Linked DNA regions of Kluyveromyces lactis. The protein of the gene in region 3 interacts with the protein of the main gene of each other region in a pairwise test. Links are inferred from orthologs where the notes say so. Each region holds a gene or a part of one and is shown on either strand. Other genes may lie near its edges.

Region 1 (3,762 bases), on a different chromosome or scaffold from region 3:
CTTTTAGTTTACTTTGCTTTTTGTTCGGGATCCGTTGTTTATATACTATGGTGTGGTACCCTGAGCGTGGCTATGAGCAACACCTGTGCATTGCGCGGTAACTGATGAAGTGTGTGACACGTGATCTGGTATTTCGCATCAACTTGCTTCTTTCAGTTACCCGGTCAAGACCGGGTAAGCTTTTTGTTTTTTCCTTTAGCATGATTTGGTTTTCCCTCTTCTCTCTATCGAAAAAACCATAATCAATATTGACAAATTGTTCAGCTTAACAGAGTAGGTCATCTCGTCTTATTGACTGTTTGAAAGAAGTACGCACAAACCACCTAAGTGACCATTCATAAGCGCTCTCGGAAATATGGCTGAAGTGGAAAAGCAAGATGTTGATATGCTAGCAGCTGAACAAAATGATCAAGTTGATCAAGTGGAGGAAGAAGTGGACAGTGAAAAGATCAAACTTCTCACAGAAGCTACTTCCGAAGATGGTACTAGTGCTTCTTTCAGAATAACAGATGAAGATCATACCCTTGGTAACACGCTTCGTTATATGATCATGAAAAACCCGGAGGTAGAATTCTGTGGTTACTCTATTCCTCATCCTTCAGAAAACTTTTTGCACATTAGAATTCAAACATACGGCAAAATTACTGCTGTAGAGGCTTTGCACAAGGGTCTTGGAGATCTAATGGACATGTGTGATGCTGTAGAGGACAGATTCACGCAAAGAATCAGGGAAATGTAGAAATTGGTTATCTCCAGCTCCCGCATTAACTATATATAAGAGAATAGAATTAAATACACAACTACATCATCCTTGTATAATACACTATAATATCTATTGATTCTACGTTTATAGCTACTGGTAATCTAGCACATTGGAAGCACCGTTGGATATACCATTGGCAAAAGTAGCTGGAGTGGCTAATGTAATCACGTGACCATTTTGGTAAATTGGTACATTGGTACAAATTTCTTTTTCTCTCTTTTTTGTTTCTTTTTGAAAAATTTGCAAGTTCCCTCATCGCCCTTTGAAACTAATATATAAGCTGCAAACATTATTCAAACCTGTCTCTGATCCTCGTTCATTCAGTATTACAAGTGTGCATTTTTTTTTATCGTTTGGTTCTCAACATCAAGCAACTTATTTCACACATTATACAGAGAACAATGAGTTTCGGCGGTGGAAGAGATCATCAATTTAACAGAAACAACATGGGCAGCACTCATGGTGACTTCCGTGGTAGCAGAGGTTCTGACAGAAACAGCTACAACAGAGGTAATGACTTCCGCGGTGGCCGTAGCTTTGGTCGTGGTCCATCTCGTGATACCAGAGTTGATTTGGTCGCTCCAAACTGGGACGAAGAACTACCAAATTTGCCAGTTTTCGAAAAGAATTTTTACCAAGAACATCCAGATGTTGCTCAAATGAGTGAAAGTGAAGTTATCGAATTTAGAAAGGAAAACGAAATGACCATTTCTGGTCATGACGTTCCAAAACCTATCAGAAGTTTTGATGAAGCTGGTTTCCCATCTTATGTCTTGGATGAAGTTAAGCAAGAAGGTTTCGCCAAACCAACTGGTATTCAATGCCAAGGTTGGCCTATGGCTTTGTCTGGTAGAGATATGATTGGTGTCGCTGCGACCGGTTCCGGTAAGACCTTATCATACTGTTTACCAGGTATCGTTCATATTAATGCTCAACCTTTGCTATCTCCAGGTGATGGTCCAATTGTTTTGGTATTGGCTCCAACCAGAGAATTAGCTGTTCAAATTCAAAAAGAATGTTCCAAATTTGGTGCTTCCTCTAGAATTAGAAACACTTGTGTCTATGGTGGTGTTCCAAAGTCTCAACAAATCAGAGATTTACAGAGAGGTGTAGAAATCCTGATTGCTACTCCAGGTAGATTGATTGACATGTTGGAAATTGGTAAGACAAACTTGAAAAGAGTCACTTACCTTGTCTTGGATGAAGCTGATAGAATGTTGGATATGGGTTTCGAACCTCAAATCAGAAAAATTGTCGATCAAATTAGACCTGATAGACAAACTTTGATGTGGTCCGCTACTTGGCCAAAGGAAGTTAAACAATTGGCAAGTGACTATTTGCATGATCCAATTCAAGTTCAAATTGGTTCTTTGGAATTGTCTGCATCCCACACAATCACTCAGATCGTCGAAGTCCTTACTGATTTCGAAAAGAGAGATAGATTGGCCAAGCATTTGGAAACCGCTTCTCAAGATCAAGACTCCAAGATCATCATTTTTGCTTCCACTAAGAGAACTTGTGATGAGATCACTTCTTATTTGAGAACTGAAGGCTGGCCAGCTTTGGCCATTCACGGTGACAAGGCTCAGAACGAGCGTGATTGGGTTTTGGCTGAGTTTAGGTCCGGTAGATCTCCTATCATGGTAGCAACTGATGTTGCTGCTAGAGGTATTGGTATGTTATTGAAATTTAATTTTTTCAGCATTGGTTTGAACTTTAGTTTACATTGAGACTATCGTCAAACCTTTCTACTAACTATATTAGACAACTGTCGAAGTCATTTCTTTCGAAATGATCACGATATGCCTTTTTATTCGAATGACACGGATGTTTTCGATTCAAAGGTAAAAAATAATGAGCTGGTCTTATTATTTATCAACGAAATCCTATTGGATTTGGTGCGGACAGAGAAAAGGATATGAAAATACTTTTCATTTTGACTTCCACAATTATTGATAAAGATTTAGAGACTTGACCAGTCCGATGTGATTTGATTTATTCAGATCTCTAGAATTAAAAGTAGATTGGCAAGCTTACTAGTATTCATGACAATCAGGTTTTGATTGGACCGTTGGGTTCGAATGTGTGGTGAAGTAGCTTTTACACAACGTGGTTTTCTCGTTGCATTGAAGGCTGTGATGAATTACCGGACATTCGATACTTTTTCTAATCATGTTATCAATTTGACATCTCTTTGATGCAATTTTGCTGAAAGATGTTCTTTATTTTTAACATGATCGTTTGAGTTAGATCAGATTCGCGTATCATTAATTGTGCTTAGTAGTAGATTGGAACATGAACCTAATGAAATAAGGATTCATTCATTTTAACAAAGAGGTTAAAGAATTAAAAAACTGATAAAATAGCGTCACAGGATGGTTTCCCTGTTATGCAAAGTGTGCATTCAGTTTTATTTTTGCGATTCCTCTTAGTAGTTGTTCCATGTATTCTATGAAGTTAGAAAGAAAAGTACATATTTGCGACATAAGCAAGCCTTACATAAATCTTTGTCTTCCACCGACTATTCTGACATGAATAAGCCGCGCGGGCTAATGTTATAATAAATCGTTGATTGCGCCCTCTGGATTTTATATTCTCATTTGGAAGTGCTTCGAACTTGTGCTGTCAATATAGTTACCATTACGATTTACGAACGAACTTACTAACTTCATTCTTATTCAACAGACGTCAAGGGTATTAATTACGTTATCAATTACGATATGCCAGGCAACATCGAAGATTATGTGCATAGAATTGGTAGAACTGGTAGAGCCGGTTCTACTGGTACTGCCATCTCCTTCTTCACTGAAGGCAATAAATCTCTGGGTGCTGCTTTGATCAAGATTATGAGAGAAGCTAAACAAGATATTCCAGAAGAACTAAGAAGATACGACAGGGGTCAATACGGCCAACATCCAAGATATGGTGGCGGCCGTGGTGGTCGTGGCTTTGGTGGTGGCCGTGGTGGCCGTGGCTTTGGTGGCCGTGGTGATGGTGGT
Region 2 (2,224 bases), on a different chromosome or scaffold from region 3:
TAATAAAGAATTTCCAAAAGGTTCAAAAGTTGTGTTTTTAGGTGATTATGCGTATGGTGGGGAGGCGACCGTTGATGGTTATAATAGTGAGACTAGATTAAAACTTACAGTCAAAAAGGGTTCTCTCAGAGCAGAGCCTAACATCGGAAAAGTTAGAGCGAAATTGGATTCTCAAGCCTTGAGATTCTACCCAACACAAGTGTTTTCAAAAATAGCTCGTGTCCACCCTCTCTTCTTGTCAAAAATTACTTCAAGATATTTGGTCAATGATTCTAAAAAGAAAAGCCATAACGTCGGTTTGATGATCAAATTCAAAGCAAGAAATCAAAAAGTTCTCGGTTATGCCAGATGCAGCTCAAACAAATGGGAATACTCTGACGTCGCTCTTGGTTTGTTAGAGCAGTTCAGATCTACATTCCCTGAGTTCTTTGCGAAACTTTCTAACTCGAAGGAACAAGCAATTCCATCGATCACTGATCTCTTCCCTAACAAATCTAGCGCGGAAGCTGATTCCATTTTGAAAACAGTGGCTGATTGGCTCTCAGAAGCAAGAAAACCATTCGTGGTGGTGTCTTTGGAAAGTGATTCGCTAACCAAGGCTTCGATGGCAGCTGTTGAATCTGAAATCATAAAATACGTTTCTTTACCAGATTCAAGCGAGCAGAAGAAATTAGCTAAGGTCCCACGTGAGGCAATCTTAAATGCGGAATCGTCATATGTTCTATTGCGCTCCCAAAGGTTCCACTTAGGTGATAGGGTAATGTACATTCAAGATTCAGGCAAGGTTCCACTTCACAGCAAAGGTACTGTCGTTGGCTACACTTCAATTGGCAAGAACGTCTCAATCCAAGTTCTATTTGACAATGAAATAATTGCAGGAAACAACTTTGGTGGTAGGTTGCAGACCAGACGTGGTTTGGGATTGGACTCTTCCTTCTTATTAAACTTGTCTGATAGACAATTGGTATATCATTCAAAGGCATCGAAGAGTGCTGATAAGAAACCAAAAGCAGTTCCTAATGATAAGCAAGTCGCCCTCGCAAAAAAGAAGAGAGTGGAGGAACTCAAAAAAAAGCAAGCCCATGAGTTGTTAAATCATATCAAGAAGGATAACGCGGAATCAAATACCGAATCTGGATCCGCTCCGCAAATAGCAGTTAACACTTTAAATCCTTCGGCTGCTAACAACGTGTTCAATGCCGTCTTGAACCAAATCAAACCAGGTTCTCAACAGCAAATTCAACCACCTCCAGCAAATTCTCTGCCTTACAATTTCACTGTTCCCCCACATATGGTTCCTGGTGGTATTCCTCATCCTCTTATGATGCAGCCGCCTTTCATTCCGAATAATGAGCATATTGCTTATGCAGCTCCTCCTCAGTCACAACCTGTACAAAATCCACCATTAGATAAAGAGGCATCCAGGAATCTTAAGAATCTCCTAATTAGAGATGAGAATGGACGTACAGCAAATGTGGAGAATAAAGACTCAGATGATACAAAGAGATCTTCTCATTCTCGTGGCGGTCGTCGTGGCCGTAGTAATCGTGGTCGTGGTGCCTCCGGGAGGGGTGGTCATTTCAAAAATTCTCCTAAAAAAACTGAAACCTGAATGTTGGTTTGAATGGACTATTAACAGTAAATATTATATCACTTCAGTAAATAATGCTTAGTATATAAGAATAGAGACACTTTCAGGTTCAACTTTTCAAAATTCCCGGTTTGTTGTTTGTTCCTTTATTTTTTGATCAGCGATATCGTGACTCTTAGCAAACCACTTAGTTTCAAACCCATTTGATCTATCAACTCCATCCCATCTATAACCGGGAACGATACCGAACCGATTTTCTGGAAAGTTTTTCTCGTAAAGCCTTCGACCCAACAGTGACGTATTCGTTCCTCGCAGGGTGTTTCCTTGATTCAATGGATCTTCGGTTGATAATAATGCACTTTTCTCAGTTTTGCGATCAAGTTTTGATATTTGTACTTCGCCTATATTTCGTATTTTAAGTTCTTCTTCCTTACGTACTTTCGCTGTCAAATTAGCCTTTTCTCGAAGTTTCAATTCTTCTTCGTATCCATCTATTACCTTACCTTTTTCGTCTCTATATACTGTGTTCTGATTCTTCTTGAGAAGCCCTGATTTTTGCATAGAAAGTTTTTCCTTTTCTGCGATCTGCTTTTCCATCTCTTCTGCTGTCTGTAACCCAGCAAAGGCGCCTGA
Region 3 (3,759 bases):
GATAAACTTCCATCAAAATTGACCGCGTCTTTATCGTATTGGTTAACAGGATGCGTAGCACTTAAGCGCGATTGTGTATCAAAAGACTGTCCATTCCAATATTGTTGGTTCAATAACGAAGACAAGTCCGTGTTTGGAATAAAAGATTTTTCAACGACGTTTTGGCCACCGAATGAGACCAAACTTTGAGTGTCAAAGTCTCTCTGACCAGCATATTGTGTATAACTACTGTTGTTGGATGGGGCTTTCCTGGGTGCCCTAGAAGGTTTCGTCAATTGGACTGTGCAGAGTTGTAAATTATCCAAAAACCCTTCAACAAGACAACCCTTTTCTCTGAAATGAAGTAGTAGATGACTCCATAAGCTATTGCGAGATAGTGCCCTTGGGTTACCCAATATTATTAGACCGTATTTAGCACGAGTCAACGCAACATTTAGACGACGTGGGTCACTCAAGAAACCAATGGTGTTTCTCTCATTGGCACGGACACAAGACAAAATAATATAGTCTTTTTCTCTACCTTGGAAAGCATCTACTGATGCCACTTCAACGCCCATGTACAATGATTTTTCCATCGAACCATTCATTTGCATATATTGTACAACATATGCTCTCTGCCCCTCATAAGGAGTTATAACACCAATCTGTTCTGGTTTGACACCATCTTTGAATAGTCTTGTAATGATCTTTTCACAGTTCATGGCTTCAATTCTGTTCAAGTAGGAAGTACCATTGCCTGAGATCTCTTCACGACCATAGTTAGCCCAAAACATCATAGGGATAGTATGAATTGGCCATGGAAAGGTAGATCTTGCAATAGTACGTTGCTCGATGGTGACACCATTCTGTAAACTACCTTCGTAGAACATGTTGCTTGGGAATTCGCTTAATTGTGGATTCATTCTATATTGGACTTCCAATCTAATAGGAATGTGACCCAAGGAAATTAATCTTTCAAACAAAGATTGTTTCAAACCAGCGTCACCAGCTTTTCTATCTAAAATGACAGGACCAAGTTGCTGATGATCACCAACTAGAACAACTTGTTTGGCTCCCTTGACGATAGGGATCAAACATTCAGGTTCTGACGCTTGAGTACTTTCATCGATCAATACTGTGCGGAACTTATAGTCCAATCTTTTATCACCAGCGCCGACGCAAGTACAGCAAATAACATCAGCTTTTTGAATGATGGTAGCTTCTGATTTTCTCACTAACTTCACAAATTTCGTGGTATCCGATGAGGAAAGTTCCCCTGTTTTTTCCTTAAGATTGAGAAGTTTTTTGAGTTTACCTTCTGCAGACCTGCTGACCAAGTTATGCAATGCTAACTCGGACACTGAGCTCTCCACATCTTCTCTACTTTTAGCAGTTAATCGTACTACCTTTAAACCCATACTGTGCAACTTGGCAGCAAGATGATCCACTGCAACGTTAGATGGTGCACAAACTAAAACACGCTGTTTGTGGATTTTAGACAAATGATAAACAATGGTAGCTGAAGTGACGGTTTTACCGGTACCAGGAGGTCCCTGGATCAATGATAAAGGTCTTTGTAAAACATGCTTCACAGCATTACTTTGAGATTGGTTTAACTCGGTGAAGTGAGGCACAAAAATGCTTTTGGGTAATTCTACATCAAATTCCACATCTGGAACCTCTTGGCCCAATATCTTATAATACAAGAACCCTGATAATGATTTTTTGGTGACAGCAAATTTTCTTAACGCTTCTTGCATTCTAATATAAGAAGTTCCCCTCCATACAAAAACTGCTGTAAATCCTGTAGTACAATTAGTTGGTGGAGTTTTTTGACTTGGTTTCAATTCAAGAGTAAATTCATCTTTGAAACTGTTTGGTAGCTGGATGATGAAACCTTTTCCTGTCCAATCTGCATGTTGTGGACCACTATACTTTAAAATCATCTCATCACCAACGGCAACTTTTAATTCGTTAGATTCGAATGTGGATAATGCAAAAGTAGCTAGATGTCTGTTGTTCAATGCTAAATCCCATGTGACAGAGATGTGTTCTAAGGCCTGTGATTCCTTTAATTGCTTATCATAATCTGCTTCTAACTGAATCAAAGGACCAAATGATCTTTGGTACTGATAAGCATCAGTGTATCTCATCAAAGTCGGAGGAATATCTTCATCTTGTTCGACCATATCAATATCCATAATTGTAGCGTTTTTGTTTGATTTCCATCTTGCTTCCAATTTCGTAATTTGAGATGGAGTAATCATCCTGGCCTTCAACTGATCTTCTTCACTTGGTTCTTCTGCCACCCAAGATAGCATCTTCCTTTCTTCAATAAGTGGTTGCCAGTTATCTGTATCCCAATTAACATTCTTCATTTTAGCACAAGGCAATCTGCACAACAAGACCACAACAGCCTCACTCTTAGCCGGAACAAAACCAAGAACAAACACATTAGTACGTCCACAATTGTAGCATTCCAAAGTAGTATCTCCTAGCTCTGAGTCTGGATGTAATGAAACTGAAGAATGATGGGATAAAACTAAATGGTTCACAATATGGGAACTATTAGTACCATTTTTCGAATTACAAAACCATTTGCTGCAAATGTTACACTTGACAACACATGAAGTATTATCAATACCACAATATGCACAAGCATGTTCCGCAATAGGATCTGTATTAGCAGCAGTGCCGTGGAACTCAGAGTATTCCTCGTCCAGCATCTCATCAGTATCGTAGAAAAAGTTTTTGTCGTCATCGTCTCTCAAAGAAACAGATTCGTTTGAGTCCGAATCTGAATCAAACGGTTCATTTGGCAAACGCATCGTCATAAGGAAACTTGATTCTAATTGTACTGAGATAATAAAGGCACCAGTCGTGTACAATCTACTTCAAAGAATAGCTTTGAACAGAATAGATCGAACTAACCAAAAAAAAAAGTTCGCAAGAAATGAGTCAGAGTCACAAATCAAAATATGTTACTCAGCACATTGATAGATGCTCAATTTACAGAACTTCTTGAAAATACAGATAAAGTGATATAGGAAATAATAACTGTTGAAGCATATTATGATTAAATACTTTTATGTATGGAAGTTGATGCATTTTCTGATGAGATGTGAGATGAGATGTGAAGTACACAAACTGAAAAAAAAAAAAAAGAATCAGCAAATGCATGCAAAAGTCGGGTAATTAAATAGTGATTAGGTGACAGTCTATGTCCTATTACGTTTATATATTTGATGCATGAGGGTATACTGATGATTATGATTGGGGTAACTGAGGGTGGTTGAAGACTGGGGTTGTGAATTTTATTATGAGAAACTCTCTGATAAAGCCTGTTCAATGAAAGACTTTCTTCTTTTTCTTGCGTCCAAAAATGGTGGTGGATGTGAAGATGAATATTGGTTAATTGATTGAGTTCCTGACGGTATTTCTGGTATGGTTCTATTAGTGTAGGTGTTTGGATTGGCAATTGTGCTATTTGAACTTTGAGGTGAAGTTCGTAATGACATTTTTGCCAACGATGAAGAGACGGTGTCTTCTGTTCCATGAGTTGAAGCTTCGTCTGACAATTGTTTTGACTTATCAAAGAAGGATTCCGTCGCTGAATCCAATTCAGAACTTACGTATCTCTCCAAGCTGTATAAGTGTGTTGGAATGGCATTTGTAGATAAGCTAATGGACGATCTTGATCCATTGGAAGATTTAGGATCTATTGCGCCCTCGTCAGTGATATTAGTTGGGGATCCAAAAGAGAGACTGTTATTATTTATG

Evidence for each region.
Region 1: the proteins of NAM7 (region 3) and DBP2 interact in a two-hybrid assay, tested with the Saccharomyces cerevisiae proteins (2 studies listed by BioGRID). The link is inferred for Kluyveromyces lactis from reciprocal best matches to the Saccharomyces cerevisiae genes NAM7 and DBP2.
Region 2: the proteins of NAM7 (region 3) and XRN1 interact in a two-hybrid assay, tested with the Saccharomyces cerevisiae proteins (2 studies listed by BioGRID, with this or other methods). The link is inferred for Kluyveromyces lactis from reciprocal best matches to the Saccharomyces cerevisiae genes NAM7 and XRN1.

The regions. Positions count from the first base shown.
Region 1 is NC_006042.1:2,215,532-2,219,293, reverse strand, and holds the start of DBP2 (DEAD-box ATP-dependent RNA helicase DBP2), read left to right. Parts: upstream 1-1,164; coding exon 1,165-2,437; intron 2,438-3,448; coding exon 3,449-3,762. Other genes in the region: DNA-directed RNA polymerase core subunit RPC19, read left to right, coding at 356-739. UniProt on the Saccharomyces cerevisiae protein: ATP-dependent RNA helicase involved nonsense-mediated mRNA decay and ribosome biogenesis through rRNA processing. Associates directly with chromatin, correlating with transcriptional activity.
Region 2 is NC_006042.1:2,093,985-2,096,208, forward strand, and holds the end of XRN1 (chromatin-binding exonuclease XRN1), read left to right. Parts: coding exon 1-1,612; downstream 1,613-2,224. Other genes in the region: BUD13 (Bud13p), read right to left, coding at 1,709-2,224. UniProt on the Saccharomyces cerevisiae protein: Multifunctional protein that exhibits several independent functions at different levels of the cellular processes. 5'-3' exonuclease component of the nonsense-mediated mRNA decay (NMD) which is a highly conserved mRNA degradation pathway, an RNA surveillance system whose role is to identify and rid cells of mRNA with premature termination codons and thus prevents accumulation of potentially harmful truncated proteins.
Region 3 is NC_006038.1:566,962-570,720, reverse strand, and holds the start of NAM7 (ATP-dependent RNA helicase NAM7), read right to left. Parts: upstream 2,814-3,759; coding exon 1-2,813. Other genes in the region: MBR1 (Mbr1p), read right to left, coding at 3,297-3,759. UniProt on the Saccharomyces cerevisiae protein: RNA-dependent helicase required for nonsense-mediated decay (NMD) of aberrant mRNAs containing premature stop codons and modulates the expression level of normal mRNAs. Also capable of unwinding double-stranded DNA and translocating on single-stranded DNA.